2 linked regions of the Macaca fascicularis genome follow. The protein of the gene in region 1 binds, or shares a complex with, the protein of each later gene. Links are inferred from orthologs where the notes say so. Each region holds a gene or a part of one and is shown on either strand. Other genes may lie near its edges. The genes, in order: PER2 and CRY2.

Region 1 (16,137 bases):
GCCATAGTTTGCTGACCCCTGGTCATTACAATGCCACTTACCAGAGGTATGGAGACCCTGTGACTCTGAGACAGGTGGGAAGATCGATTCCAACATGAAGCCTTGAGTGAGGGTCTGCTTTGTCAAACCATTTTCAGTATCCAGTGTCTTAGTTTAGGTTCCCTAGAAAACAGAGCCAGGGAACAGGCTTAAGAACAAAAGCTTTGGCTGGGCACGGTGGCTCATGCCTGTAATCCTAGCACTTTGGGAGGACAAGACAGGCGGATCACGAGGTCAGGAGATCAAGGCCATGCTGGCTAACATGGTGAAACCCCGTCTCTACTAAAAATACAAAAAATTAGCTGGACGTGGTGGCAGGTGCCTGTAGTCCCAGCTACTCAGGAGGCTGAGGCAGGAGAATGGCGTGAACCCAGGAGGCAGAGCTTACAGTGAGCTGAGATTGTGCCACTGCACTCCAGAGCCTGGGCGACAGGGTGAGGAGACACTGTATCAAAAGAAAAAAAAAAAAAAAGAAAGAAAGCTTGATCGGGAGGTGTGATCCCAGGACAGGACAGGGAGAGTAGAGAAAAAAGGAAGAAAAGGCAAGGTGAGGCATCCCCATGCTGGCCACTGCTTCCTGATGAGCCGCACGAGGCAAGCCAGACACTCAGCATGTCCACATGCTGCTTATGAATGCCAATGCCCTGGCCCAGTGGAAAATCATGCCTTGGATTTTGGCCCAACAGACAGCAAAGGGTAAGGGTATTATCCACTGGCTCTCTCCTGTCTACCACTGAAAAATTTTGGGAAGAACCCTGGCAGCACCTATAGCAGTGGCCTTTCTTCGGCCAGCAGTGACAGTCACCCAGGCTACCCTGTCTAGCAAGCCCGAGACTATCTGGGCCCCCTTCTGTTTCCAGCATGTGTGGTCCAGAGCCACCGCCTTGCAGGGAACTCGGGGAACAGGGTCCCATTCCTCATCTTCCTGTGGTTTGAAAGACTCAAACAGTGTGTAGGGAAGCCCAGATCAAGGTGAACCTAGCGTTACAAGAGTGCTCTTTAGGAATCCCATTTGAATCGTGTCTTCATCTCACCCCCCGAGTCCCTTCTCAGAGGATTCAGAGGCCCTGCAAGGTGGACCAGGAGGTGACAATGCAAGGCTGTGGTCTCAAAGCTCTCTGCCTGGGGGACTCCTGGCTCCGTGCTCCTGCCTGTGCTCCTCCTCTTGATAGCTTCTCCAGTTTTCACACTATTCTTCTAGCACCTTCTCCACACAATGCCTTTTCTCCTGAGAGCCCCTTTCCTTTGTCATTTCTCCTGGTCCTCTCGCCTTCCTTGGTTTAGGGTTTGGCCAGATTCAGAGCCAGTGGGGTGGATGTGCAGGGTGGATGTGCTGGGAGGTCTGCATGGGCCATGCAGCCTCAGGTCCTCCCTGTTCTTTGCTCCTCGTTCCTGTCTCAAGTAGAGATCTGAACCACTTTGGGGAGTTCTTTATTTCTGACTCTTCCTTAGAGACCAGGCACGCACCAGCCTGGAAAAACTGCTGCAGCCCGGCGGTGCCTGGAGGAACCAAGCTGCAGATGCCGCCCATGAGGAGGGCCCTGCCTGCCATGAACCGTTCAGCACTTTCTGAGTCCAGAGTGTGGCAGGGATTCTCTGCATTCTCATCAACCACATGAGCCCAGAAAGCTCTTCCAGAGTGGCTGCAGCCTCGGTGGGGATGCCTGGGTTTATGCTCAAGGTCTCAGGGAACGCTCCCTGGGGCCGCCACACCGTGGTCATCAAGCACCCACTGGGAATGTCTGCCCATGGCCATGGTCACAGGGCACACGACTGACTCTGCAGCAGGAGGGCACACGACTGACTCTGAAGCAGGAGGGCACACGACTGACTCTGAAGCAGGAGGGCACACGACTGACTCTGAAGCAGGGGTGCTGTGTGGATCCCCCGACTCATCATTTGCTTCATTCAGCAGCACATGTCACCCCTCATCGTGCAAATCAACCATCCGCGCTTTCAAAGAGTTCCCCGGGTGTGGGTGGCAGCAGGGCCAGAAGGAGCCCAGTTTTCCTTTGTGCATCCCAACAGTCCACCTACACATGGCTTCCTCCCTGTAACAAAGCTCCCCAGCTTCAGTGGTGGCCTGGGCAGTGGGTAGGGTGTCTCCCAATTTCCCTTCCTCCTCCTCGCAGGACTCCATCTGTTGAGGAGGATTGAGAAGATGGGTACACGGGCAACCTTCGCTCCCAGCTGCTCTTCACAATGGAACCATCACAGGTCAGGCCTCACGATCACTGCCGTCACAGCTCTAAGTCACCTGGGCTCCTGCCTCTGCCCTCAGCCAGGAAATCCATCACCCAGCCCTCGAGAGGATGCCTCCACCCTCAGGGTAACCCAGTCAGACCCCTTTGCCTGCCTCATGCCTGTAATCCCAGGGCTTTGGGAGACTGAGGCAGGGGGACCATTTGAGGCCAGGGATTTGAGGCTTCACTGAGCCATGATCACACCAATGCACTCCAGCAAGACCTTATCTCTAAAAGAAAAAGAAAGAGGAGGAGAAGGAGAAGAAGGAGAAGGAAAGAAAGGAGGAGGAGGAGGAGGAGAGAAGAAAGAAGGAAAAAGAGGAGAAGAAAGAAGAAGAAGAAAAGGAAGAAGGAGAAGAAGAGAGAAACAACAACAACAACAGCAACAACAACTTTGTTGCTTCCTACCAACAAGATTCGGTTTAGGGACAAGAGATGTTTTTTCCATGTTGGGCACCAGGGAGAAGACAGCAGGAGAGAACAAACACCCAGACACCAAAGGAAACACTCTGTGAGCCACAGAAGCAGGCAGAGGGTGAGGCAGGGGCACAGGCCTGAGCCTTCACTCTCCCAAGGAGGGCACTGTGAACTGGCATCACTGGTGGGCTGGTGATCCCCAAGACGGACCTGCACCCCAGACATCCCCACCTATGAGCCCTTATGGACTGAGGGGAATTACATTAATAGAATGCAGGGAGCACCTGCATTCGCCAAGTCACAGAGGAGCTTTTGAGTGGGGAGAATGTTTGATATTTGGAGAATGGGAGGCACGTTGGAGCTTGGACTTTGGTCGCTCCTGACTTTGTGGTCTTCCCTGCTGAGTCAGCTGGTTCTCAGGCTCCATAAGGACAGGGTGGTGAGGGTGGCCATGAGATCTTTCTGCAGACAAAGGTAGTTTCTCCTTGATGACATAAAACACAGACGCACAGGATTCCTTTGGTGTCGTGGTGTCGAGAATGTCTTTTGCAAAGGATCAATGGAACGCAGGCGCATGTCCTATAGAGTGGTGAGGATTAAAGAAGAGAATGTGTGCCAAGTGCCAAGCGTGATGCCTCAACACAGCAAGCACGTGCTCCCTCACAGCTTGTTCACAGGCCACGGGGGGGCCCAAGGGCCATACTCATGTATGAATGCAAAGCCCCAAACTCAGGCTTCTGCATTCTTCTTCGTGTCACCCAGGATCAGGAGCCCTAATGACACCGGGCCTTGTTGGTCCCCAGAGCATGCAAGGCCCCCATTCCTGACTCCAAGATGTCCATGGTTGGAGGCGCCAACTGGGCTACCCCTCAGTGACACCCCAGGAATGCTGGCAGAACCACACTGAGGCAACAGCCCTGCAGGACACACACTAGACAGGGAGAGAGCCAGGGAGCCTGATGCGGGGGCCTGCCTGGGCAAGGTCCATGGCCCAGAAGGTCAGCAGGATGACACCCTGACCGATAAGAGACCCTCCACCTGGGAAGGAAGAGGCGCCTCGGACGTGGGGGATCACCTTGAACACGGGTATCACCTCAGACGGGGCATCGCCTTGGGTGTGGGGGATCAGCTCAGACAGGGCAGGCGTTTTGGCAAGTTGCCTCTCCTTGGGCTCCTTCAGGACAGTGAGGGGTATTGGCTGCCCTGAAGCCCTGGAAAGAAACTCAAGCTGCCTGAGACCAGAAAACCTGATCCACAAATTAGTCCACAAGTTCCTGAGGCAGAGACTTGACCTGCAACTCAAACCAGGAGTGCCATACAGCATCACCTACCCACTGCTACCCTCTCCCCACCAAACGGCACAGCTTTCGTCTCAGTTAAATCCTTGGTTTCACTTTTTATTTTTTCTTTGTCTTTTCTTTTTTCCTTTTCTTTTTTTTTTTTTTTTTTGAGACAGAGTCTTGCCGTGTCACCCAGGCAGAAGTGCAGTGGCATGATCTCGGCTCATGCAGCCTCTGCCTCCAGGGTTCCAGCAATTCTCCTGCCTCAGCCTCCCGAGTAGCTGGGATTACAGATGTGCGCCACCACACCCGGCTAATTTTTGTATTTTTAGTAGAGATGGAGTTTCACCATGTTGGCCAGACTGGTCTCGAACTCCTGACCTCAGGTGATCTGCCTGCCTCAGCCTCCCAAATCCTTGGTTTTTCTTAATGGCCTTAATGACCAGAAAGTTTGAAGTTTTAATCATTTTTCAAGTGACATGATAGCAAATTGTTTCTTGGCTTTGGTTAAAAGCATGCCTTTTATTTGCAAAACTGATAATAAGAGAAGTCAGTTGGGTACAATTTAACACTGAATTCTGTAGCAATAAAGAGGGCATGTATAGCATTAAAAAGACAGAATCTTCAGGTACAAATTATTTTATTCATTTATATTTTTTGTCTTAGGATACAATAATAAAGTAAACACATCTATACAGAGTATTGTATAGCAGAGACAAAGCTATGGCAATTTAAATTATTTGCAGATCTGCAAAAAAAAAAAAGAGAGATTAGATGTATTTGGGAGAGGTATTTTTGAAGTAATAACTATTGTCATGGATTAAAAGCCCACTGCACCTATGTATGATTGGGGAAAAAAAAAAAAAAAGCAAAACAAGGCTGGGAGTGGTGTCTCATGCCTGTAATGCCAGCACTTTGGGAGGCTGAGGCGGGTGGATCATGAGGTCAGGAGTTTGAGACCAGCCTGACCAACATGGTGAAACCCTGTCTCTGCTAAAAACACACACAAAAAAGCTGGGCGTGGTGACGCGCGCCTGTAATCCAAGCTACTCAGGAGGCTGAGGCAGGAGAATAGCTTGAACCCGGGAAGCAGAGGTTGCAGTGAGCTGAGATCATGCCACTGCACTCCAGTCTGGGTGAAAGAGTGAGACTCCATCTTAAAAAAGGAAAAAAAAAAAAAAAAGGAAAAAGAAAAACAAATAAAAGTCTTAGCAAATTAGAACATGTGGCAATGGACATCCATAAAAAAACAAACATCTAAGGCTCATCATACCTGGTGGTGAAATACTGAACACTTCCTCCCCCAGGGTGGAACGGGGCAAGGATGCCCACTCTCACCATTCTATCCCACATCAAATGCAGGTCTTAGCTTGTGCCACCGGCCCTGTGATCTCTAGGGCATCCTTTGCAAAGGAGTCATTGGGACAAGGATGCTAACGTTCCAGGCTCCAAGCAAGCTCCTTTCCCCGGGCTCTTCTCCAGGGCAAGGTGAAGAAAGATGGGGACTGCACATCCATCGTGGATGGCTCAATCTTGTGACTTCCTTGGGGAAGACATATGAGCACACCACACCCACATGTCTCCACCAAACAAAGAACAGCCTCCCTGGATCTATATTTAGTTTAAAAATCAAAAAGCCTTCTCAGTAGGTAGCTAGCATAATAAAGATGCCTTCTTCTTTTTTTAAAAGACAGGGTCTCACTCTTGCTCTGTTGCCCAGGCTGGAGTGCAGTGACGCAATCACAGTTCACTGCAACCTCAAACTCCTGGGCTCAAGGGATCCTCCTGCCTCAGCCTCCCAAGTGGCTGGGACCACAGGAGCATGCCATCATGCCTGGCTTTCTTATTTTTTGTAGAGACAGGGTCTCACTATGTTGCCCAGGCTGTTCTCAAACTCCTGGGTTCAAGAAATCCTCCCACCTCGGCCTCCCAAAGAGCTGGAAGATACTTCTTTATATTGGTCCACAAACCACCTCATGTCCAGGGACAGGCACCTGCTCTCAGGTCACTAGAGGCAAGTAGTCCTTGTCTCACCCTGAGACCCTAGACACAGGTGCCCACGCCCTTGAGGTCACCTCTCTGAGCCGGGTCTCCCTGCCAGGAGCTGCCACCATGCTAAGCTGGGGTCAGCTGTAGGTCAGCGCTGGGTTCAAGGGAGGCTGGAGAGTAAGGGTTGGGCATTACCATCTCCAATGTCCCTAAACCCAAGAAAGGGGATCCAGCACTAGAGGGCCAGAAAGCTTGACAGTGTCCCCTCCATCTCTTTAGAGAGGACTTTGGGGGCCACCACCTCCTCCATTTACAGAGGGAATTCTCTTCCTAGCCGCCTGTTCTTTGCCCCTCCAGCTAGCCAACCCACAAACCATGCCACCCACAGTGAGAGGAAGCAGTGACCAGCACAGTGCCTGGTACACAGTAGTTGCTCAGTAAACAACTGGCTGGGTGCTTGAGCGAATGAGAGGGCCAGTGAGTGGACTAGCAAGGGCATGGAGGACTGGGTGCAGAGAAGCCCTACAGGCAGGCCCAGACATAGATGGGCAGGGCCAACTTGGGCCAGGCTTACTGGTGGAAACAGGCTGGTGGGAGTGGGTGGGGCAGGGGCCAAGCAGCCTTTAGCTGGGAGGCCAGCTCCTCCCACTGGTAGCATTCCCAAGGTAGCTGGGGACCCTGGCATACCACCTCACCTCCACCCCCAAATAAAGGACTAGTTTTCTCCTAGCCAGCCTGCCTCCCACAGTGCCAACAGCAATTCTCCTACACAAGAGTTCTGAGCTCTGTGCTGGAGGTGATAGCTGGCCAGTGTGGGCTGGCTAGGAAAGGGTTCATCCCCCTTCCTTCTCCAATCTGACTGCCCAAATTTGCACTCGCTCTCTCTGTCTCTCCCCCTCTCTGTCACCATCTTGGTTCAGCAAGAATGGTATCCATGCACTTGGCCTGATTGTAGGAGCTCATCCCCTGAGCGCTATCCTCTGTTGGAGCTGGGATGGAGGCATCTGTCCATTGCTGTCCTATTCCCTCAGGACCTACACCACATCTTAGACAAAATTGCCTCTGAATCTGCCTCCTCCCCCCTTCTGCGTCACAAACTCCTTACAAGCAGGGATACAGTGAGACGTATTTTTGCATGCCCCTCAATTCTCAGGTGTCAACGAGTATTTGTGGAGTGTACAAAAATTTCCAATAATAGGAAAGAAGAAACTGGCTGTGAATAACTGAAAATAGATGAGATTCTGAAGAGTCCTAGAGCCCAAAGCACTTGATAATTTCTAAAAGAATAGATTTCGGTGTCTTTCTACCAGGTTTATTCGTGGAAATAGAAAAAGGCTACATTTAGGGAGGAAATGTGACATCAGGTAGCAGGCTGAATATGGAGCAAGACCCAGCAAAAGCCTGAAGAAGAATCTCAGTAAGGTGTGGATGAGCTGTTTACTCTTGTTTCCAGAACAATGGAGCTCCCCATTGACGTCAATGGGAGGGAAGAAACAAAAGAGCCTTTGGGTGTGTGCAGGGCGCAACCGGGCCTGGATTTGCTTGGCATTTCTGTGTGTCTGTGTTAGGGAGAGGGGGCGGGGAGTGTGTTGAGATGTCAATGTCAGAGGAACAGGAGGAGGGGCCACCTGACAGTGTGTGAACAGCCTGCAGGCCTCCCTGGGCTTCTGCGGGAAGGGCTGCCCTGATGAACTTGGTATTTGCCCTGGTTTGCATCTGAGAATTTGCACACACACCTTGTCAAGTAGAAGGGAAAGAGTTAGCACACTCAGGAATTCCTGATGTGGGTTAATAACTTTTCCTTCTGTCCCATCCCTGGTCCCCAGGCGAGTCCAGGTAAAGAAGAACAAGAAGAGTAAAGAGAGATGCTGCGGGTTCCAGCTTCCTGGACAATCTCGCCTTCCCCATGGGAGCCTGCACTTTCAGAGTCTGCTGCATGGGAGCCTGCAAGCTCCTGCCTGTCCTGTAAGTCTCAGGCTTCTACCCAGACCAGGGGAAATTGTACTCTCTCTCCTGACACTTTAAATGGAAGTTTAGAGGCTCATCATGCCCCAAACAATGCTTAGTGAAACAGCAAACCCTCAGACAAGGTGATGCACGCTGCCGCACTGGCTCCCAGGACAACCTCCCACCACGGGCTTCTCCGTCTCTACCGCTTGCACCTTCCTAAGGTGTCCCTTTCTCAGGGCCCATCCTACCCGCCCTGGAAGTGCTGCCTTTCTCACGGAGCCTGTGGGGATAGCTCTGGTTAATTTATAGCCCACATCGCCCAATTTAGCATTTGATTAAGTTTCCTTTTTATGAGACAGTCCTTTCTCCCTAGTGATGCGCTTGGGGGCAGAGACAACATCATTTCTTTCTTTTGTACCTCCCCAGAGTAACAGTGACTCTATTTCCTGAACCAAAAATTGTAACACGTGGTAACTGCCGGGACAAGTGTGGACCACAGGCACCTCTGAGGCCCGGGTGGGCGTGCCCCAGCAGCTGCTGCAGGGCGGTGCAGCCACCTTCTCCTAGGCTGCTCTGGGGCCCGGCGACGAATGAGTGAATGAGTAAATGAATGAATGTGTGAATGAAGCATGCTGCGCAGACTTTCCCGCGGCCCTGGCCGCTGGGGGCGCGCCTCTGGCCGGTGGCCGGAGGTGGAGGTTTCCCTGGTCGGGCTTCGGGGCGCCAGGTCGGCCAGGCCGGCCGGAGGTGCACAGGAGCCCCGCGCCCAGCTCCCCCGCCCGCAATGGTACGCGCCACTCCGCGCTCCCGGAGCTGGCGGACTCGAGGGCGTCGTGAATGGAAGGCGCCGACGCCGGAAGTGGATGAGACCACTAGGGAGGACGACGGGGGGCAAGAACGCGCCGCATCTCCATTGAAGAACCGACGAGGTGAACATGGAGTTCCATGTGCGTCTTATGTAAAAAGAGCGACGGGCACCGCTACCAATGGGCGCGCGGCGCTAGTGGGCCCCGCCCCACGTGTATGCAGATGAGACGGTGTCGCGGCCAATGGCGGACGCCGGGGGCGGGCGCGGCGCGCGCGGTCACGTTTTCCACTATGTGACAGCGGCGACTCGGCCGCGGCGGAGGCGGCGGCGCTGAGGGGCTACGTGCAGCTGTGGGCGGTGGTGGCGGCGGCGGCGGCAGCGGGCGCGGGTCCGGGCGGACAGAGCCACGAGTCGGCGGAGGGACCGGCGGACGGGCCGACGCGAACGCGGCCGGGCGGTAAGTGGCGCGGCGCGGCCCCGCTGCGGCTTACGTAACCGCCGCCCGCGCGTTGGCCTCGGGCAGGTCGGGGTCCCGGCGCCGCCGGGAGTTCCCTGGGCCGCTGGACTCCTCTGCTTGAAACGGCGCCGGCGTGGGGGCGTGTGCTGTTGGCCCTGTCTCAGGTGGAGGGCGGCCGAGCTGCGCGCAGGGTGCGCTCGTTTGAATTGCGCTGACACCGCGGGTTGGGGACTCGAACCCCCGTTTCGCAGCTCAGGAGCCTGAGGTCCGAAAGGTGAGGCGGCAGCGTGTGTAGGGCACCGAGTTGCTGAGTGACTGCGCGTGGGCTGCGGTTCCGTGGGCGATTCTCTTTTGGGAACCCTCCCTCCCCTCCCGTGGGGAAGGCCAAGGAAATCAGGGGTCAGCGCAGCTGGCCCTGGGATCTGGAGGTCCCTCGGGGAGCTGACTGCCTCCTCTGAGGCCACAGGGCCAAGTCCTGGGCTGGGGAAGGGCTGTGGAAGGGCGCTGATCTAGGAGCTTTTCCTGGACACCCACGGGTCTCCTGGAATGGGTGATCAGAGGGACAAGGAAGTCCCTGTGCCAAGCCAGGCCTGGGAACCTGAGGGCAGGGAGACCGCCTGATGTTCGCCCCTTTGCCTCCCCTGGACCACCCTGTATTAATTCCCTCTCCCCGGACTGGATAGAAAGGAATGGGGGTGTCCACTCTTTGGTGCAGCAGTCGCACCTACCTTCTGGGATGTACTTCGGCTGCCAAGTCCCAGACATAGACCAGGAGGTGGGAGGTGGCCTGCTTCCCCCTTCAGGAAGGCCAGGGTAAGGGATGACGAGTTGGTTGCCAGGGTTTCTGTAACCTACACAGAAGGAACCCGTTTGGAAAGCTGATTCATACAGAACAGAGCCAGAAGGCACCCTGAAATCACCCAGAGTAACCCCTCAGCCTGACAGATGAGCAAACTGAGGCCCAGGCCCAGGCTGTCTGCAGGATCTTCCCATCGCCCTGGGGCAGGATGAGCTTCAGAGGTTCAGTGAAGGCCTCAACTTGGGTGCTGAATCCTGGGTGGGCTGTAATTTGGGAGGAGGGGCCTTAAGTCCGGGAAATGTGTTAAGAACCTCACACCATGGCCAGAGCCCCCCTGGACCCCTCTCACTTTTATATGGCACAGCAGGATCACTAGACTTCTTGGCTTCCAAGGGGAGATGCCATCTTCTACCCCGACCTGGGGCTTCTGGTCCCAGACTGGGTGTGCCTGAGAAGAAAATAGGACTCTACCTGAAGGCTTTATTTGGAAATTGAGTTTTAAAATACAAGGTGAATTGAGTTTTGTGTGCTATATGACTATAATGAAGAAAGGGACTCCGTTGTTTTTTTTAAGTGGAAGCTGTGTGGTGTGCCAGCGCGGGGATGGTACCGTGGGTGTTTGCAGTTATCTGTCACTGTCGCCTTGGTGTGATTCATTGGTATAGAACTAACGCAGCCGTGGCTTTCTGTGGAGACTGGAGTGCCAGGTGGGAAGGGGGAGCCCTGCGTCAGCCAGCTGGCTGCTGCTGGGAGCCTTGGCTCCCAGTCTGGGCCTCAGTTTCATTTGTTCGGAGGGACTCAGATTGGGCAGTCTCAGAGGTCTAATTTAATTCCCAGGTTTTTGATTTTCTGTTACCCTACAGTTGATTTTTCCCAGGTTTCTCGCAGGAGACAGAGGCTTCTGATATGTTCTTGCCTTTGGGCCAGGTAATGTTCCCCTGTGAGCCACATCTGCAGTGCTTACAAGGAACAAGGAAAGATTCCTCTCCTGTGCACTATTTCTCATACACACTGAACTTTCTCAAAAATACTGGTCGTCACACTGCTGTTTTTAAGCCATGATGTAACTTCACCAGGACTCAGCAAACCACGGCTCTGTCAGGTCATTGAACAGCTGGCAGGGCCACTTGGCGTTTAGTCAGAAGAAAGACAGGCTCTGGGTGTGCTTTTACCTTTTGAAAACTACTCTGGCAGAGTGAGCCAGAAACACACAATTCCATAAGCTTGGCAGAGACTGTCCCCACACTTCTGGAAAGCTGACCAACCTTCAGAACCAAGGGAGAATCAGACAGTCTAGAGGGGGCCTCTGATGGGCCCCTCCCCAAGCCCAGGCACTCTCCCCTAGGGACCAGGCCCTCCTTTCAACTCATTATGCTCATCGTGTACACATTTGTAACAAGTTTGTTACCATATTTCCAAGTCTAGAGCAAATTAGAAGCAGTAAATGAACAGCAGTGACGGGTGACAGGAGTCAAGGCCACTTGGTTTTCAGAGGCTGGTAGTTCCCAAGACAGAGTGGGCTGCTGTGCTGATCCCTCACCGGCCTCGAAGGGTTCCTCGTGCTCTTCCTGGGGTGACATAGAGGAATCAGAATCTGCTCTTTAAGAAACCAGGTGCAGGAGGAGCAGATGCCTCAGCTTCCCGCAATTCAGAGTAGCTCAGCCGCTGACACTTTTGCCTTTCTTATTGCTGTAAAGTCTTGTAGTTCTAAAAATGTAAGGATTTAAAAGTCTGAATTGAGAGCATTAAAGGTGTCCTGGTGAGGCCAAGACAATGCCTCCCTGGTGCACCTCCTTCCCTCCATATTTGGACGGCTGCGGTCACATTTTCCGCAGTTACCCAACCGTTGCCATGGAGAGCGCGGCTGTTTATTTAGCAGGACAAACATTTTCTCAGGATTACAGCAGGCTGGCCTCAGGGATTTGGCTCCTACCAGGAAGTAGAAAACATGTTATAATATTTGGGGTTGTAAAATCCTGCAGCACTTGCAGAGACAGTACATGCTGTATGATCCTTATTATGTAAAGTTCAAAAGCAGGTAGAATTCACTAGGCTGCGAGAAGCCAAGCTAGTGGGTCCCCGTGGGGTAGACGGTGGCTGGGAGGGCCACAAGGAGCCTCTGGGGGGCTGGCAGTGTCCTGCGTCTGGTGACATGTGACATGGGTATGTTGTTTGTGGATATACATCAAGCTGTGACCTCATGAGGTGGGACTCCTCTGGTAACTGAACACTGATTTCTGATTTCCACAAAAAAATGCTTTTCTGCCTTAGGGTGTGAGGGTATGGAGTACAGTAAGACTTCACCAGTCCTGGCAGTGGCAGTGGAAACTGGAACTGGGTCCCAGGCTGTGCTTTCATTCCTAATTTTTAAACACTATTATGGAAAGTATGAATATCTATGAAAGTAGGGAGAATAGGGTAACGAACCCCTGTGACCCCACCAGCCAGTAGTTTCTGCTCCTGGCCCCTCTCCTTCCCCACCCCCACCGGCTGCTTCTCTTCCTGATCCCAGGCTCTCCATTCTTGTGGACTGTACTTTCTGAATGGTGCTCTGTCAGGTTGAGGCAACCCAGCTACCACAAATATGGCCAAGTGACCTGGTCAGGGGTCCGAGCTTAACCTGTTTCCTTGAGTCTGACTGTTCTTGTGGGCAGAGCCAGTGCGCAGACACGTGAAGGGGGCCTCAAGGGCAGGTTCACGCCCAGAGGCTCATGTTGGCTTCTGGCAGCCCCTTTTCCACCAGGCTGTCATTTTCCGTCCTGGGCTTTGGCACCCAGAGCAAATAAGTGCTTGCCCGCCCTTCCTCCCCCTACCTGCCACAAGGTAGAAACAGGTTTCCTAGGAGCTCACCAGGGACAGCTGGTCCAGCCAGCTCTGGGTACACATCTGTGGAAGGCAGGAGGCAAAGTCCACTTTGACAGGGGTGTTGGTTTTGCCACCTTCTCAAAATGAGGCTGGTCTATTAGAGCCGCCAGGGCTGAGACGCATTTTCTGGAATGACGAAGTTTCTGATGATTTGGCTTTCACATTTCTGCCAAGCTTACTCTGTCCTCTTTGCAAAAATACTTATTTTCCACTTAAGGTAATGTCGGGGCACTAGTGGGTCGTATTCAGACAGGCTCACAGGGGCTGGACTTGGGTGAAAACCAGGAGCTAAGTGCAAAATAGTGAAAACCAGGAGAGCTACGTGCAAAGTGCCCAGGGCCCAGACAGCTTCAGATGGTGGCTTCAGATGGTGGCTTCAGATACCTGATGCTCCTGCAAGGACTGCCTGGGCTGGGGGTGGCACTGAGTTCTTAGTCCTTTAAATACAAGAATACAAGCCAGAGACAGCTACTGTGACAATTCACTCTCTGTCTTTTAAAATTACTTTTGTTACCCTTCTGTTTTTCTTTTCTTTTCTTTCTTTTTTCTTTTTTTTTTTTTGAGATGGAGTCTTGCTGTGTCGTCCAGGCTGGAGTGCAGTGGTGCAATCTTGGCTTACTGCAGCCTCCATCTCCCAGGTTCAAGCAGTTCTCCTGTCTCAGCCTCCCAAGTAGCTGGGACTACAGGCACACACCATGACGCCCAGCTAATTTTTGTATTTTTAGTAGAGACGGGGTTTCACCATTTTGGTCTGGCTGGTCATAAACTCCTTACCTCAGGTAATCCACTGCCTCAGCCTCCCAAAGTGCTGCGATTACAGGCGTGAGCCACCGCGCCCAGCCCCCTGTCTGTTTTTCTGTAGTGATTAGCAGTGATAATACAAGCTAATATTACAGTCCAGATACCTTGCATGGATTGTGTCATTTAACCCTTCTAACAACCAGTAGGAGACAGAAACTACTGTTGTTCCCATCTCACGAATGAGGACACAAGGCACAGAGAGGTTAAGGAACTTGTCCAAGATCACACACTTAGGAAGTGGTGAAACCCAGCTGAAACCCAGGCCATCCAGGACCTGTCCCCTTAGCCACTCTGCTGCTACCTCTGATCACCTTAATGACTCACTCAGAGCATAAAGGACCAGCTGCTTGTCTGGGGGAGGGCTATGGGGATGAGATGGGTGGTGTCCAGGATATTGGGGGGGGTCAGGAGTGACAGAATGCCCTTGGTACCCTGGACAGCCTCTTGGCAGCTCCACTGAACCATGGCAAGAGTGCCCTGAGAGGTCTCCTTGTTTCCCCCTTGCCTCAACCCTGCAACTCCATTAAAGTGTAAGTCACATCTTGTTGCACAGAACTCTCCATGGTTTCCTATCGGAGTTCTGACCATCTGCCCCCGCAAGGCACTCCGTGATCTGGCCTTGCTGCCGCCCTCCTGCCCCTGCCCGCTCTGCTCCAGCCTCGTGCACCATCCTCAGACAGGTCAGGTGCTCGCCTGCTGGAGGGCCTTTGTGTGTGCTGTCCTCCTGCCTAGAATGTTCTTCCTTGTTCTTCCTCTGGTAGCCCACTCTCCACGCTCTCCAGCTCTGCCTTCAGGCTCTCTTGAGAACGGAGTCTGAGGTGAGCTCTTTACTGGGAATTGCAGTCCCAGGGTAGCAGTAGAAAAGGAAAAGGGAGGTGAGGAAGAAAAGTCTGGAAAGCACACACAAGATGACACCCTGCTGAGATGAGGCTCTGCCTTACAGACACACACAGCTGGCTGCTCACCCTGTTGGGACCTCTTCAGAAAGCCTGTCCCAAAAAAGGAAGGAAAGAAAGAAAGACAACTTCAGAACGGTCCGTTTGAGGGAGAGACGGAGGCGGCATTTTCTGCCAGCGCCACCTTGCCTCCTGCCCAGCACGTGAGCTCTCCCTCCTGTCCAGCTGCCTCATCAGACCCTTTGGCAGCAGCCGGGACAGTGAGGGGCAGCAAGGACCCCCACAGTGGAGTGGCACGTTGTCTGAGTCCACACAGGGCAGGCAGGGACAGAGACACCCAGTCCCAGCCTCAGGTGTGAAGCCAGAAGGAGCTGCTGGAGCACGTGACTGCCAGCCTGAGAGAGCGAAGCCCAGGGACTCTGAGTCAGTTCACACATGAGGGCTCAAGTGCAAGGTCCTTGCCAAATGCCACCTACACCTGGGGCCACCCTCACTGAAATGTCACTCCCAGCCCCTCTATTCCCCCTTGCTAGTTGCCTGCTGTACTGTATATTCTACTTTCTTATTTATTGTCTGTTTCCCCCTAATGTAAGCTCCCTGAGGGCAGGAAAGATGTCTGCTCTGTTGTCTGCCCCAGTGCCAGGCCTCAGTGCTAAGCGAGTAAGGGCAAGTCAGTGGGAAACTGCTGGCACCAGGCGGGCCCTGCCTGAGTGCCATCTGTCCTTTTTATTGTTGTCGTTATTTATTGTTCTTGGACTTGTTCATCTATGTCTGAGACTCTCCCCACATCAGTGTTTCTGGCCTCCGTCCTTTTAGTGGGTGTATAGTATTCGGAGCATGGATGTCCCAGGTTTGTGTCTTCAACAGTACGTGCCAGGGCCTGGGGATCCAGTAGTGACCAACTCAAACCCCTACCCGCATGGAGCTTAGGTCCCAGAGGGGAGGCAGGCAGTAAACAACCCGCCCCTCAGTGCTGGCAAGGAAAGCCCACAGAGCAGGAGTGCAGGGCACAGAGAAGGAGCTGGTGGGCAGGCAGTGCTGTTCATGCAGGCTGCCCAGGGCATCTACAGGAAGAGGGCTGTGGGCACGAGGGAGCAGCAAGTGCAGAGTCCCTGTGGTCAGAGCACACAGGGCTGGGGCCAAGGGGTGGGCAGTTAACAGGACATGCCCAGGAGATTGCAGGAGCTGGACTTGCAGAGCCTCTGGCCCTCATGCCCACTAGAGCTGTGCTCTGAGCAAGGGTCTGAGCACAGGCCAGGTGTAAGCTAAGCCCCTTCACCAGGATCGCTCTAGATGCTGTGTTGACCATAGCAGGGCCAGGTGGAGGCACGGGACCAGTTTGGAATTTGAGGCTGGCTCCTGGCCAGGATGATCGTGGACAGGATGCGTAGCCTCCTTGTTGATGGTTCTTTCCAGATTTTTATATTCCATGCTCACACATCTCTGTGCACATAAATAAGCACTTATCTGCAATGGATTCCTGGAGGTGGGAAGAGTATGCAGATTATAAACGTTGCTGTGAACTCAAATTTTTCTCCAGAAATACCCTATTACTATACCACCATACTCAAGAGCCACTCCTCCACCTGACCA
Region 2 (15,914 bases), on another chromosome or scaffold:
TTTTATTGCCAAATGATATTCCATTGTATGGAGAGACATTTTATTTACCCATTCATCAGAAGACAGTCATTTGGGTTGTTTCTACTTATTTGGCTATTCACACATTAGTTTTGTCTGACTGCGAACTTTATGTAGTGGATATATACACATTGTGTTTTTCCATCCTCACACCACTATAAAGAACTGCCTGGGACTGGGTAATTTATAAAGAAATGAGGTTTAATTGACTCACAGTTCCACATGCTGTACAGGAGGCAGGGCTGGGGAAGCCTCAGGAAACTTACAATCATGGCAGACAGGCGAATGGGAAGCAAGTACATTTTCACATGGGTGCAGGAGAGAGAGAAGGAAGGAGGAAGTACTACACACTTTTAAACAACCAGATCTTGGGCTGGGCTTGGCGGCTCATACCTGTAATCCCAGCACTTTAGGAGGCCGAGGTGGGTGGATCACGAGGTCAGGAGATCGAGACCATCCTGGTTAACACAGCGAATCCCCGTCTCTACTAAAAACACAAAAAATCAGCCGGGCATGGTGGCGGGCGCCTGTAGTCCCAGCTACTCAGGAGGCTGAGGAAGGAGAATGGCATGAACCGGGGAGGTGGAGCTTGCAGACAGCCCAGATCGCACCACTGCACTGCAGCCTGGGCGGCAAAGCGAGACTCCATCTCAGTACAAAAAAAAAAACAGATCTTGTGAGAACTCACTATCATGAGAACCGCAAAGGGGAAATTCACCCCCATGATCCAATCACCTCCCACCAGGTCCCTCCAACACTGAAGATCATAATTCAACATGACATTTGGGTGGGGACACAGAGCCAAATCATACCACATATGTAAATATTTTCTTTGGTTTCTGGCTTCTTTCACTTAAGTTTGTGAGAATCACCCATGTTACTGCTGCCTATAACTGTAGGTTTTTTGTATGGTATTCCTATGTTTGAATACAGCACAATTTTTTATCTATTCTTTGGCTGATGGACCTTTGAGTTATCCTTGATTTATTATTATTACTAATAATACTGCTATGAACATTCTTGCACATGTCTCTTGGTGCACATGTGCACGGATTTCCGTTAAGTATATGCTAGGAGTGAAACTGTTGCGTCATAGAATATATCGTTCATGATTTGTAAGGTATTTGGCTTTTCAAATTTAATATATAATAACAGTTTTTAAAAATGGTTGTATCAATTTACAATCCCAACAGCAGTGTATTTTAATTGCTCACATCCTCCCAGACACTTGATTTTACCAATCCTTTTAACTTTATTCATTCTCGTGGGCCTATAGTGGTACCTCATTGTGGTTTTAATTTGTAGCTCCCTGATGAACTAATGAAGGTGAGTACCTTTTCATGTGTTCATTGCTCACTTAAATATCCATTCTTTGGGGCGAGGGTGTGTGGAAAGTGTCACAGGTAGCCACTATCTGGGGCCAGCGTCGTGCAGGCAGTAAAAAGAATTTACCAGGACAGTTGTAGGTAAAGAAAGGCAGATTTATTAGAGAAAGTATGAAAATACATTGCAAGGGTGCAATGGGCAGGTCAGCAAGAAGGGAACTGACTACAAAGAGACAAAGGCTTGCTGGGGATTTTATAGGATGGTGCTTGTGCTATGTACTGAAGAGGACTTTGTGCAGTGCTGATAATGCCAAGGTTGCAGTGAGCTAACTTGTATTTTTCTATCAGCCAAGGGACTGGTGATAGCTGGGCACAGGAGGGCAATGTGTCCTGGACCACAAAGAAAGGCAGACTTACAGTTTATCTGCTTTTTCTTTTTGCTTTCCTTCAATCTCACCAGTCTGACTCCTTTTGCTTAATTAGGACTCCACAGAAAGTGCCTATTCAAGTCTCTGGCCTAGTTTCAAATTGGGTTGCCTATCTTTTTTTATTATTATGATTTCTAAGGGCTGTTGACATATTCTGGATTTGAGCTCTTTAAGAATTATAAATATTATGTAAGTATCTTTTCTCATTCTATGGTTTGCTTTTTCACTCTCTGAATAATGTTTTTTGATCAACAGTTCCTAATTTTAACATAGTCCAACTCATCAATATTTTCTTTAACGGTTAGTGCTTTTCATGTCTTTTTCAAGAAATGTTTGTCTTCTCCCAAGGTTGCAAAGATATTCTCCAATACGATCTTCTTAAAGCTTTATTGTTTTACCCCTCACATTAAGCATATAATCTACCTGGAATTGATTTGTATGTTGTGAGATGGAGTCAACTTTCACTTTTTTACAACAGAATATCTGATTGACCCATTACTTTCCCCACTTCTTTACACAGACATCTTTGTCGTGAATAAAATGTCCAGATTCATGTGGACCTGTTTCTGGATTCTCAATTCTGACTCATTAGTCTATTCACCTTTCTCTAATTTCATACTGTCCTTTATTATTAGTATCATCATCCCCATTTTACAAATGAGGAAGCTAAGGCACAGAGAGGTTAAGTAGCTCGCCCAATTAAGTAATTTGCTAGTTAATGTCAGATCTGGAAATGGAACGCAGGGAGTTTAGTTTTACGGTCTATGCTCTCAATAAGCTTTACTGCTTCTCAAGCTGAACAGTTCCAATAACAAACATTTTACGTCACTACATCAAAGTAGGCTTTGCGTGAAGCCTTGGGAACAGGGATGCCGCGGTGTTCCCCGCACAGCCGAAAACCGAACCGCCGTTGTCCCAGTCCTACCACTAGAGGGCGCGGGTAACTTAAACTCGCCGGGGAAGTCCCTCCCGCCGCGCCCGATTACCTTTCAGCCAATCATCAAATATTTACCCAAAGCGCGGTTCAAAGCCAAAGTAGAAAGTTGTTTAATCCAGTCTCCATGCAGGACATTAACAAAAAGAGACAAAACAGGACTAATCTATCTGCGTAAGCATCTTCAGGGAAGAAAGACGCCACTCAGTTCCTGGCTAATTCATCTCATCCTTAAAGCACCTTATCCTAAGTCGTCTCTCCAATCTTCACTCTTCCTAGTGTAAACTAGGTTGTTTGACATCCTCATGACAACCACTCTTTGGAGGTACTTTTTACAAGGTGTACACTAGAGTGCATTATTATGAGGTCAAAAATTAGCTCTTATTTCTCTCGAAGAGACAATAGTACCCCATTATATTTCACTTCCTTAGCAACGTACAAGTTTCTTTGGTCTCTCTCCAATTTCTCCGTGTCCCTTTTAAAGTGTAAAAACCCAAAGTGGACTTTGCACCCTATTCTATCTAGTGTCAGATTTACTTCCCTATTCTTTTTTTTTTTTTTCGGAGTCTCACTTCGTCATTCAGACTGGAGTGTGGTGGCATGATCTTGGTTCACGGCAACCTCCACCTCCCGGGTTCAAGCGATTCTCCTGCCTCAGCCTCCTGAGTAGCTGGGATTACAGGCACGCATCACCACACCTGGCTACTTTTTGTATTTTTAGTAGAGACGGGGTTTCACCATGTTGGCCACATCAACTCCTGACCTCAAATGATCTGCCTGCCTCGGCCTCCCAAAGTGCTGGGATTACAGGCATGAGCCACCGCACCCAACCTGCTTCCTGATTCTTGAATGTTACACTGTTAATATACTAAAGCAATATGCAATTATTCAATGAAGTATTAATAGTTCATCTTTGTTAACTTGACAACACAAACCACACAAAAAAAAACCACACAAAAGTAACGATGCAGCAATATACAACAGGCTTAATATTTTAAGTTTCAAAAAAGCTGGGCCAAGTGCAATGGCTCATGCCTATAATCCCAGCACTTTGGGAGCCCAAAGAGGGAGGACTGATAGAGGCTAGGAATTAATTGCTTAAAGACCAGCCTGGGCAACATAGCAAAGCCCCTGTTTTTACCAAGAAAAAAAAATGTTTTTTAAATTAGCTGGGCATGCTGGTGTGTGCGTGTAGTCTTAGCTACTCAGGAGGCTGAAGCAGGAGGATCCTTTGAGCCCAGGAGTTTGAAACTGTTATTGAGCTAGGGTCACAGCACTGCACTCCAGCTTGGGTGACAGAACAAGACCCTGTCTCAAAAAAAAAAAAAAAAAAAAAAAGAACAGGCAGGGCATGGTCGGTGGCTCACACCTGTAATCCCAGCGCTTCGAGAGGCCAAGGTAGGTGGATCGCCTGAGGTCAGGAGTTCAAGACCAGCCTGACCAATATGGTGAAACCCTGACTCTACTAAAAATATAAAAACTAGCCCAGTGTGGTGGCAGCCGCCTATAATCCCAGCTACTTGGGAGGGTGAGGCAAGAATTGCTTGAGCCCAGGAGGCGGAGGTTGCAGTGAGCGGAGATCACACCACTGTCACTCCGGTGACAGAGCGAGACTCCGTCTCAAAAAAAATAAAAAAAGAAAAAGAACAAACAAACTATGCAAACCATGGAGCACTGAACCTCTGCTTTGATTACAGTCTGCTTAGGTGTTTGTGGACAAAGTCTAGAAGGCAACATGAAGATAAGAAATAATTGATTTGTTAGGTTTTGGGAACTGAGGTTGATTACTTTTTTCATTATTGGCAAAATTTCGAGGACTTTTAAAAAATGAGTAAAATATTTTATTTACTCAGCAACTTATGGAGCCCACATTACATGTACGACCCAGGGCTGAGCATTACAAGGAAGAGAAAACCAGACACAGATCCTGCTGCTCAGAATAACAGTAGCTGATACAGTACAAATGCTTAGTATATCCTAAGTGCTATTATCACCCTATTGCAAAGATTAAGAAAGTGAGGAACAGAGAGGTTAACTAGCTTATCCAAGGTCACAGAGATTAAAAGCAGAACTAGAATTTGAACTCAGCAACTCTAATGTGCGAAGCCTAGGATTTAACCATTACACCACACTGCCTCTCATGATAGCTTAATAAGAGAGAGAGTGGAGGGGAGGGAAATGACTTTTGATCATTTGGCAAATGTTTTTCGAGCACCTACTATATGTTAGGTACCAGAGTACCAGCTGGGAAGACACTGATAAGTAAGACAAGCACAGTCCCGGGCTCACAGAATACAGATACAGCATTACGGGAATTTAGAGGAGTAAAAGGGAAGAGGACTCATCTCTGAGGTTGTTTAAGGGAGAAACACCTCCTTACACTCTGTTCCATTCCTAGCAAAGCACCAACCTTGTGGAGAGAAGAGGGGATAGGAGAGGGGGAACACAAAACCTTAAAATAAAAGTAATGAAAGGTGGCATCGATTTATTCAGCAAGCATTTGGAAAGGAAATTCAAAAATAAGGACAGGGCCAGGTAAGGGGACTAGGATAAGCCTCTAAGAGCCTGCCAATATGAGACTCTAGTGCAATTTTTACTCAAATAATCCTTGAGCGTTAGGTGCCAAGCACTGAGCTAGACTTTGGACATACAACTGTAAATAAGCCACAGCCCCTGCTCTCCAGGAGTTTATACTTTAATGGGGCATTAAGACATTTAAGCAAGAAATTCCAGTATTGTGTGCCAAGACAAGTGACCACAAAGAAGCACAGAATGAGACGGGGCACTATTCAGGTTGGGATCAGACAGCAAGAAGGTGACATCTACACTGAACAATGATACAGAGCAAACTGGAGTTAGAAACAAAGAAGGAAGAGGGAGTGTGATCTAGACTGCGGGAACAGCTTGTGAAAAGTCCTGGAAATGGCAGAGAATGCCTAGGATTGCAGTGACACTGGTTTAGAGAGTGGTGCCAATTAATGCCACTAAATTGCAGACTAAATTGCTAAATGCTTTCATCACACTGTCCCAGGTCCAGGAAGGGTTCCAAGCATGGGCTCAACCTAGGGCCAAGTTGAAACTGACTGTTCTCCACCTGATAACCCCAAAGCTGCAGCTTGACTAAGCCATCTTAGCCTTCCCCAACACCTTGTTGCTGGTGTTTATAGCTTCTCTTGCCATTTAGTCAGTCAATCAGCAAGCTCTATGCTAGACGCCAGAGGAATAAGAGGGTTCCACCTGGCGTCCCAGAAGAATGGGGACAGTGTCCTCCACATCTCTGAACCCCACCCGGAATCCAGTACAGTGCTTTGCACACAATAGTACCACTGGATCTACTAAACAGACTAAAAGAAAATAAATTCATCTGATGGCATAATTACGAGCTCAAGTCCTCCACATTCCCAGTCCCTACTCCCAAATCCTCTAATGCTGCGTATCAGGGCACTCCTTCTCCATCCTTGGACTCTGCCACTTGGAATTACCAAGGATCTTCGCACAAAGAGAAGTATAGCTTCGTGGATAAAAGCAGAAGTTTCAAAATCAGAATAATATGGGTGAAATCCCTCTTAGTAGCTTTATGATACTGAGCAAGTCGCTCAACCTGCGGCACCCTCCATTTTCTTCATCTGTAAAACAAAAATAACAGCAGCTCTTCCACTGGTGTTCGTTAAATGAATGTAACTGGGCTGAGTTCAGAATAGTAAATGAGACCGACTACGTAAGGAGATGATCATGTCTCTTGCCATATAAAGTGCACTTAATAAATGGCAGTTGTAGTAGAATGATGTAGATGATGCTGGTGACGATGTTGGTGATAATAGGAAGGTCAGTTGTCAGTTTTGCAAGTCTCTGGCTGTAGTCACAGCAACCCCTACCAGCCCAGGTAGCTTCTTCTAGAAGCAGGCCCTGAACAGGACATGTGTAAGAGATCCGCTGTACCTCGAGACTCGGCCCACTCCCGGCCCTCCGCGGACTGTGCCAGCCTGCGTCACTTGTCCGCCTGCCAGCTCCACCCAGGCGGACCCACACATGGTAGGAACGTGAGGGGGCGGGGCCTGTTCTGGCGTCTCTGGGCCAATCGCCGGGCGGGAGGCACTCAGCCAATGGCACAGGGGCTCTAAGGCCCTGGGGGCGGGGACGAAGGGAGGAGCTGCGGCGTCATAGGTCACTGGGCGGTCTGTGGGCGGGGTCCGCGTCGCCTACCGGGGCGGAGCGGGGGTGGCCGGAGCAGTCTGGACAGTCATGGCGGCGACTGTGGCGACGGCGGCAGCTGTGGCCCCGGCGCCAGCGCCCGGCACGGACGGCGCCTCTTCAGTGCACTGGTTCCGCAAAGGGCTGCGGCTCCACGACAACCCGGCGCTGCTGGCGGCCGTGCGCGGGGCGCGCTGCGTGCGCTGCGTTTACATTCTCGACCCGTGGTTCGCGGCCTCCTCCTCAGTCGGGATCAACCGATGGAGGTGAGGGGACCCGGGGCGGGGTGGCGGGGACGCAGCCAGGACCCTGACCCTGGGGTGACCGGCAAACAGCACGATTCTCTCAACCTCTCCACGGCTGTGAGGCCGTGGAGAAGCCGAGACCGGGGAAGTAATTCGTCATGGTCCTAACGCGCCGGTGGGCCAGGGCTCAGCCTCTGACAAAGCGCGTTCGCACTGTTACCCCTCTGAGCCTCACAACTGCCTGTGGAACGGAGATCATGATCCCCGTTGTACAGATGAGACCCTTGGGCCCTGGAGACCCAAAGTCGACCTGTCCAAGGACTTGCAGCCAGTGAGTGGCGGAACAGGGGCTCCTGGTCTAGGGCTCTTATGGTCTACTCAGGGAGGGGCAGAAGGAGATACTGTGGTGTGAGGGCGGGACGGGTTTTTGCTCGCATTCTTCAAGTAAAGAGCCCATTGCTGGGCTCGGGGAGATCATTCCTAAGCCTCTGGCTTGTTTGAATCCGCCCTACCACCCATCCTGGCTTCCCTGCGCCCAGACCGTCCTGCCTCTAGGGGTGTCAGGTGACCCTGGCTTAGCATTAAATAAAGTCTTCTCCCCTATATTATAAATAAAGAAGCCAAAGGTGTCTTCAGGTGGAATCGCGTTGTGTTCAAAGCTCCAGAGAATCCAGGGGATTCTCCAAAATGGTTTAAGCCCTGCTCTGGAGCTTTGACCTCGATAAAAAAAATTTAAAAGGATCCAAAGTGTCACCCCGTCATCCTCTTGTCATGATTTTAGAGGACAGTTGAGCCATTAGAGATGAGACTTCTATGAACTGTTGTGCTAAGGTTAGGGAGCAGGAAAGCCATGATATCAAGGGCCCCTCTGATGACCCCCCAGGAGATGGAGTCGACATGATCATGGAAAAAGATGAACAGGTCGTTAATGTATTTTCTTTGTAAGCAGTATTCAAATTAAAGAGTTTTGAGACATCATGTACCCATCGCTCTTCAGAACACCTAGTGGCAGTCGCTGGGTTTGTTTACATTGTTCTGGGGAATGTTTGCTTGTGGCCTTGTTGCACTGATGGACAGGGTTATTTCCAGGATACCGTGGCTCTCGGCACACCATTCTTTTCTCTCCAAGGTGTGTACCCTGCTAAGAGAGTGAGTGCTCCTAGCAGTAGGTCTGTTCAGTGTCCCCTCTTGCCCAGTTTATATAGAAGGAACAATTAAAGAGTCCTGTGGAGAGCCTGCCCACAGTTTTCAGGCTGCCTTATTGCTCTGTCTCTGCTCCAGTTTTCTACAGATAGGAGGTTGGGTTTGACAAGCATCATCAAATGACCATCCCTAGTGTGGACATTAAGCCAAGCCTCAGACTGCCCTGCACCAGTCAGAGCCAGCCAAATGGAATCCGACTACCTTCTTGTTACATTGTCACAGAGTTTCTTCTTTTATTGGGTTTTGGGGGACACTGCCTAGTACTACCTACTCTTTTTTGATAGGGGAGATTAAAAATCAACAATAAAATTCCTGTTGATTAAACTCCAGTTTGCTAGGAACCAGGTGTTTATGGATTTTTGTGGGTTATCGTTTTGTGATTGTGCTGTCAATCTAGTGAAGGAGAAAAGGAATGTGGCTTAGATGCCTGAGTCAAATCCTGAAGTCAGAGGCTGTGTAGGAATGCAGATATTAATTGATTACTTAATGAATGCCTAATATCTGCCAGGTAGTGCTCTAGATGTTGCTAGGGATACAGCAGTGAATAAACAGATGTGTCTGTGCTCCAGAACTCCTGGAGCCTACATTTTATTGAAAGAAGACCAGCAAACAACCATAATTTAGTGAAACGAAGTGCCATGAGAAACATAAGATAAGGGGACAGACTAGAGCAGTGGTTCTCAATCTTGGCTGCTATGTATTGGAATCCCATAAGGATCTTTAAAAGATGCCTGGGCCCCTTTCCCCCAATTCTTTTTTTTTTTTTTTTTTTTGAGATGGAGTTTTGTTCTTGTTGCCCAGGATAGAGTACAATGGCACAGTCTGGGCTCACTGCAACCTCCGCCTCCCAGGTTCAAGCAATTCTCTTGCCTTAGCCTCCCAAGTAGCCAGGATTACAGGCGGCCACTGCCACATCTGGCTAATTTTTTTGTATTTTTAGTAGAGACAGGGTTTCACCATGTTGGCTAGGCTGGTCTCAAACTCCTGACCTCAGGTGATCTACCCACCTTGGTCTCCCAAGCTGCTGGGATTACGGGGCATGAACCACTGTGCCCAACCCCTTTCCCCCAGTTCTGTTAGAATTGTTCTTGGTTATGGCCTGGGCATTAAGGTTTTGGGGTTTTTTGTTTGGTTTTGGTTTTGGTTTTTGGTTTTTGGTTTTTGGTTTTTGGTTTTTGGTTTTTTGTGGGGTTTTTTGAGACAGGGTCCTGCTCAGGTGACAACCCAAGCTGAAATGCAGTGGCATGATCATAGCTCACTGCAACCTTGACCTCCTGGGCTCCAGCGATCCTCCTGCCTCTGCCTCCCAAGTAGCTGGGACTGCAGGCTTGCACCACCATGCCTGGCTAATTTTTGTATTTTTTGTAGAAATGAGGTTTCACCATGTTCTCCAGGCTGGTCTTGAATTCCTGGTCCTAAGCAATCGCCTGCCTGAACCTCCCAAAGTGCTGTGATTGCAAGCATGAGCCACTGTGCCCGGCCTTGGGCATTAAGGTTTTTAAAACTCTTATTGCAGCAAAGCTTGAGAAGCACTGGACTAGAGAACCTCAGTCCTGAGCTGGGCAACCTAGGAAGTGTGTTGCAGTGCATTGACAGGAAGTCTAATTAGTCTTGGCGTTCAGAAGAAAGAGGTGAAGTAACACAAACAGATTGAATATAATAACTGCTCCTGGGCCTGGTAACAGACACACTCCTACCACCTCCACCATTCTGCTTGCTTCCTGGATCAGTTGAAGGCAGAGCTGCATTCTCTTGTGTACAAAGTTGGGGATGGAGGGGAGGACTGGAGCCAGCCATATCTTGACATGACTGTAGTATGTGTAATCGTCCCGTGGCTGTTTCTGGATTCCGAGAGTGGTCTGAGAGAATTGTGCTGCACCATAAGGTCCTAGCTCTGTAGCTGCTTAAGTTGCCTCTGAGAAGCCTCCCTAGGAAGGCAAGGGAACATCTGCAAGGAGGGGAGGACCCAAAATCTGTGACTCTATTTCCCTCCTGCTCCTCCTACACTGACTCCCACACAGTGTTTTTCTGCAGATGAAATCAGATTAAAATAACTATGAATGGCACTAGGAGTAAAAAAGGACAGAGAAATGCAACCAAGAAATACACATATTGATTAGCAAGAAGAAGGCTAGTATACTCCCTGCCTTGGTGATGGTGGGAAGTTTATGGGCTAATTGTAGCTATATGAGCCTCAGGACTTTTTTTTTTTTCTTCCTCCCAAGTGCTGCTTGGCTAAACCCTTTCACATTTTCTCCAGCCTCACCTCCCCCAAATTTGCTACATCTAGAAGGAGGTACTGCAGCAAGAAGATAAACAAAAGGAAGATGTGAGCAGTTCCTAGATTTTAAAATGGGCTCTGTGGTTTTTCATTACCTTTCTCTCCCCACTGCGACTTAGGTAGGTGTTAGCCACAATTCCTCTTCCACTTTATTGAAATCATTTTGTCCCTGGCTCTGTGCTGCACCTCTTTCAGGAGCTTCCGGGACAGAGGGAATTTGTGAAAATAAAATATGTTCCCTCTCAGCCCCTTTCTCTCAGAATTGGTAAATAGGGTAAACTGAGAACTTCCCAGGATGTGCCATGAGAACAAGTGTGCCTCTCTTCCCAGATGCTGAGAGCTGAACACTGTTGGACTGTTGGGAAGTGGGTTGAGAACTCGTCTACTGGCAGGGAAACAGGAGCTTCTCTGAGCTATTCACGTTGATATCTGAGAGAGGCACTTTACCGTTCTACTGCCAAGGAAATGTTTCTGTTTGCCCAAAGGGGATAAAAACCTTCATCCTTCTCTTTGAAATTAGGAAAGAATAAATATATTTTTAAAATAATAAGTATTTAATATTTAAGTATTTCTAAGTATTACTCAGATACTTAGAAATAAATCCCTGCCAGAGATTGTGAGTTTAGGTTATCCTTTTCCATGGGGCTTAAGCGCTCTTAATTACTTAGGAAAAGTTAATTTCTATTAATATCCTATGTAGCCAATCTGTGCCAGCCAATGGTATCATCATTATTGTTAGATAACCTTGGCTTGAAGCAGAAGAACTTGGTCAAGGACAGCCTGGACCCAAAAGAATTCACTGTTATCTTCCCTCCCCCTATTAACAACAAATAAATAAAATATTCCTCAACACAGGGTCAGTAGAGACAGCCATCCGTAGAGAAGGCCTTCCCAAAATGTGAGTACTTAATCAAAGGATCTGCTTGTTTTATTCTAAAGGCTAGCCTTGTAGAGTCCCTGAGTTATAGTGTCCTCTCTGTATTTTTGGAAATCCCAGTCTGGTTTTCTCTAGTTCTGCCTGCCTCTGGCTCCAGAGCACTTACGTAATAATGTAATTCAGTTGCACATGTTGTCTAATCCAAAGGGTAAGCTTTGCTCTCCCAGGACCATGTGCTCTGAATTTTGGCCATGTGAGCTCAGCTAAGAGCTGCCAAGGGTGAAGTGCCAGCCCCCAACACTACCACCTCCAATGCCAGGCCAGTTTCCTTCAGAGTCCCCTCACTGGAGTAAAGAGAAATTGGAGTAAAGAGGAGGGTTCTAAGGCACCACAGAAGGCCCAGGGTTCTCTCTGGTGAAAGAATGCATATACCTGCCCAGTGAGCCTTTGCCCAGTCACGGCACTGCTCCAAATGTGATGGACAGCTGTCACCTGGCAGGCCTCAAAGGTGGTACCCTAGTGGTGGCTTCTCATTCTATGCATTCTCTCGCTGCCTGGAGTCTGGAGATACTGGGGACCCTCCTCACATCTCCGCCTGTTGCCTCCGTGTGGTGGCTGTCCTGAGCCCTCCCTTCCTGGGTTGACTCGGGAGGGAAGTTGGAAGAAGCAGAGCATTTCTAGCAGGCCAAAGGGGAGGCAGAAATATGGATGCCCAAGAGAGAAAGTTTAGTAGAAACAAACTAGAAGCAAAGAAAGGCAACTTGTAACAGAGGCTAGAAGTAAAATTCAGTGTTCTAGAGTAGTGCTTGTGAAACTTTAATATGCAAATGAATCACCAGGGGATCTTGCTAAAATACAGATTCTAATTTTGGAGGTCTGGGTTAGAGTCTGAGATTCTGCATTTCAACAGACTCCTGGGTGTTTCATAGCCAATGCTGCTGATTGTCAGAACACACTCAGGAGGAAAGATCTGGCAGCAGAGGTGTTGTTGGCCTTTGAGTTGGCCTCTGGTGCTCCCTAACGGCTGAGCCCTGGGCAGCACAACCTCAGTGCTCTGTTTGTTGAGAGGCAGTGGCTGGCTAAAAACAAACATGTCAAGCCTGACAGATTGCCTGGGTTTGAATTCTGGCCACTTATTAGATATATAATGTTGGGCAAGTTCCATAATCTCCCTATGCCTCAATTCCCTCATCTGTAAAATGGGAATGATAATAGTACCTACTTGATTGGGCGGTTTGAGAATTAAATGAGATAATATATGTGAAACAAGTAGAATAGTGCCTGTCAGTGTAAACGCTCATTAAATGTTAGTCATTGCCATTATTATCATTGTTTTTATTGAGTTGCTGGGTTCAGAGTTGGGCCTTCTACCAGCCTCACATCTCTGCTTTCTGCTGTAAACATCTCTTGTGAAAGAAGAAAAGGCTCTCATAGGATTAGCTGTACTTTAGAGATGCTACGAGGAATTTCTCCTTTTAGTAAATGAGATCTAAAAATAAAGTTCTATAGAAGGCAGATTGCTACATGTTCTGGAACCTAGATTTCATGTGCATTCCAACCTTATTTATAGCTTCAAATCAAAGTCCTATGCAGCCTCGTGGACTGTGAAGGAAAAGGCCCCTGAAGCGCACAGTGAGGACACTCCTGGGAGCTGCAGATGGAGGACCCTGTGTCCTGGGGTTATGGAATTTAAATCACCGCTCCTAACCCTAGGCATTCTACCTGGCAGAGTCCAGCTTTCAGATGGCATGAGACCATTTGCATGGATTTCTCTTCTTTTCCTTCTAGAAGAGTGGTGAGGCTTGGGGGAGGCCAACACAAGTGACGCACTTGCAGCTCCCTTTTCCTTTTCTGGAGGTGTCAATTTTTCAAAAACAGAAATTCACAGAGGTGGAGCTTTTGGTTTGCATAAAGCAGCATTCAACCTGTTAGTCTTCCATCCCAACCCCTCAGAGAGTCTTCCACATGCTCTTTTGCAGACATGATGCTTTGAGCCGAGCCCAGGGCTCAGCCCGTGCTAGAATGTGGGTCGGTGGCACTGGCCGTAGGAGTGTGTCAAGTTGTGTACGTCAGAGGCAGCAGTGGGAGCTGGTTCTAGTTGACAGCCTGGGAATAGTCACTGCTTCTGTAAGCCTCCAGTAGTGAGACAATGTGACTGTGATGTGCCATTCCTATTGTTGACAGAGAAGAATGCTGGGGATGGGCAGAGACCCAGGGAGTAGAGAGCGGGTGCCTCGGAGGTGTCTGTGACATATGCAGATTGGCCTGTTTGTTCCTGAGGAAGATGAGAATGCCAGTGGACTACCTGTAGTCAGATTGCTATTAGAGAAAAGGGTTTCAAACTCCTGAGGGCCTGCAGAATCTCAGCCCTGGAGCAGAGTTGGCGTACAACTAGAAATCTTTAGAAATGGGGCACAAAGCCCTGCACGGTGGCTCACACCTGTAATCCCAGCACTTTGGATGGCTGAGGCGGGCGGATCACTTGAGGTCAGGAGTTCAAAACCAGCCTGGCCAACATGGTGAAACCCCATCTCTACCAAAAATATTTTTAAAAAAATTAATTGGGTATGGTGCACATACCTGTAACCCCAAATACTCGGAAAGCTGAGACAGGAGAATTGTTTGAACTTGGGATGGGGAGGTTGCAGTGAGTCAAGATTGCGCCACTGCACTCCAGCCTGGACGACAGAGCAAGACTCCGTCTCAAAAAAAAAAAAAAAAAAAGGCACAGAGAGGAAAATGTGGGTTTCAGAGTGACCACCCTAGGTTCCTGAATCCCCAGCTTTGTCACTTAACAGCTATGGTCTTAGGCAAATTAATTTACATCTGAGTGTCTCAGTTTCCTCATCTATATAATAAGGATGGTACTATTTCCTTCAAAACAGTTGAGAGAATTAAATGCAGAAATGCACTTAAAAAGCATGACAGAACCAAAATCCCATTGATAACCTTGGTTGCCTCTGGGGAGGGAGGGAGGGGAAAGCCCTTTTTACTGTGTACTGCTTTGTCTCTGGAATTTTGAGCCACATGAATAGTTTATCTGGTTATAATGTTAATTTAACTTAAAAATAAAACACTGAAGGCACTCAGCAAGTGTTAATTTCCTTTCCCTTTCCCCTGGTGATCCAGGTCTGCTGCTGAAGTTCTTGCCTATCTGTAGTCTTCCCCATCCCCACCCCCACAAAAATGTGAAGATAGCTATTGAGAAGTACCTTTTAAAGCCTTCTCCTTCTTGGGATGAGAACCTGATCACCAGAACCTTGGAGAAGCCTGGAGAGTAAGCCACCTGCCAAACAAAGCTGTGGGAACTAGGGACCCATTGCCGGCTGTGAGGCTGTGGCAGCAGAAATACGCATGGCCCACAGCATGCGTGCAGAAAGTCAAGGAGTCTTTTCCACCAGAGTAAGGAGGATTTTCCCAGCTATGGCAGTCTGCTCCTCTGCTAAGAGGACCTTAAAGCTTCATACCACTGTATTGCACTGGCTTTTCAGATGGCTCCCATGTGAGTCTCACAACAACCTCGTGCTGGGCAGATACTTATATCTAGCCCCCGAGACTGCGAGGGAATAAGTGACTTGCCTCTGATCACACAGAAACACCACACTAGGAACAACTCACATTTATCTCGTGATGTCTGTGTGCCAAGCACGGTGCTAAATGTTTTTCACACATTATTCGATTTTCTTTTCTTAGCAATTTGATGAAGTACTAACATCAGCTTCACATTACTGGTGAGAAAACAGGCAAAGAGGTTAGGTGATTGCCTAAAGTCACACAGCTAGTAAGTGGCAAGGCCAGGGTTTGAAGCAGAGCAGCGCTGATCCACCACCACATCCCTCCTGGGCTGGAACCCTGGCCTCTCCAGCCCTAGTGATCATGAGGCTGCCTGTTGGGCATAAACAGTGAACCAGTTTCTCCCTGCTTTGTTAGGAAAGAGAGCCACTCTTCATGATGTTATCACTAACAAGGCCTGTGTGAACTCTGCAGGTTCCTACTTCAGTCTCTGGAAGATTTGGACACAAGTTTAAGGAAACTGAACTCCCGCCTGTTTGTAGTCCGGGGACAGCCAGCCGACGTGTTCCCAAGGCTGTTCAAGGTAAGCGTGCAGAGCCCCAGAGAAGACAGTGAGATTCTGTCCCTGAGGGTTTCCCCACAAGCTGAGTGAGATGATATTCCGACTGAGGGAATGGAAACATCAGGGCTGGTCTGGCTATTGCTGCTAGAGAAGTTGGGAGCAAAGGCAGCCAGTTAGCTTTCTCTTGGAATGGAAACTGTGTTAAGGAAAAAAATTCTGGGAAACCAGTGTCTTGTTGGAAAGCTCTCAGCTCAGTCCAGACATAGGATGTGGTAAGTCATTCCACCCCGGATGCCACTGGCTTCTGTCGATGTTTTCTTGGCTCAAGCCAGCAAGA

The links.
Region 2: the proteins of PER2 (region 1) and CRY2 are in contact, whole or in part, in a crystal structure (PDB 4U8H), measured with the Mus musculus proteins. The link is inferred for Macaca fascicularis from reciprocal best matches to the Homo sapiens genes PER2 and CRY2. Residues at the interface, in NP_035196.2 of Mus musculus: Tyr1132, Leu1134, Gln1135, Asp1136, Pro1137, Trp1139, Leu1140, Met1142, Ala1143, Asn1144, Thr1145, Ile1149, Met1150, Met1151, Thr1152, Tyr1153, Gln1154, Leu1155, Arg1158, Asp1159, Leu1160, Val1163, Leu1164, Asp1167, Gln1168, Lys1170, Leu1171, Leu1174, Gln1175, Ser1177; in NP_034093.1 of Mus musculus: Trp58, Ser63, Ser64, Val65, Lys163, Leu166, Thr167, Lys169, Arg170, Glu215, Leu216, Gly217, Phe218, Asn330, Pro331, Ile332, Cys333, Ile334, Gln335, Ile336, Pro337, Asp339, Asn341, Pro342, Glu343, Leu345, Ala346, Lys347, Ala349, Glu350.

What each region holds. Positions count from the first base shown.
Region 1 is NC_088386.1:134,195,694-134,211,830, reverse strand, and holds the start of PER2 (period circadian protein homolog 2), read left to right. Parts: upstream 1-9,016; 5' UTR 9,017-9,183; exon of another isoform or gene 9,184-9,457; intron 9,458-16,137. UniProt on the Homo sapiens protein: Transcriptional repressor which forms a core component of the circadian clock.
Region 2 is NC_088388.1:20,009,600-20,025,513, reverse strand, and holds the start of CRY2 (cryptochrome-2), read left to right. Parts: upstream 1-6,934; 5' UTR 6,935-6,947; coding exon 6,948-7,162; intron 7,163-15,489; coding exon 15,490-15,598; intron 15,599-15,914. UniProt on the Homo sapiens protein: Transcriptional repressor which forms a core component of the circadian clock.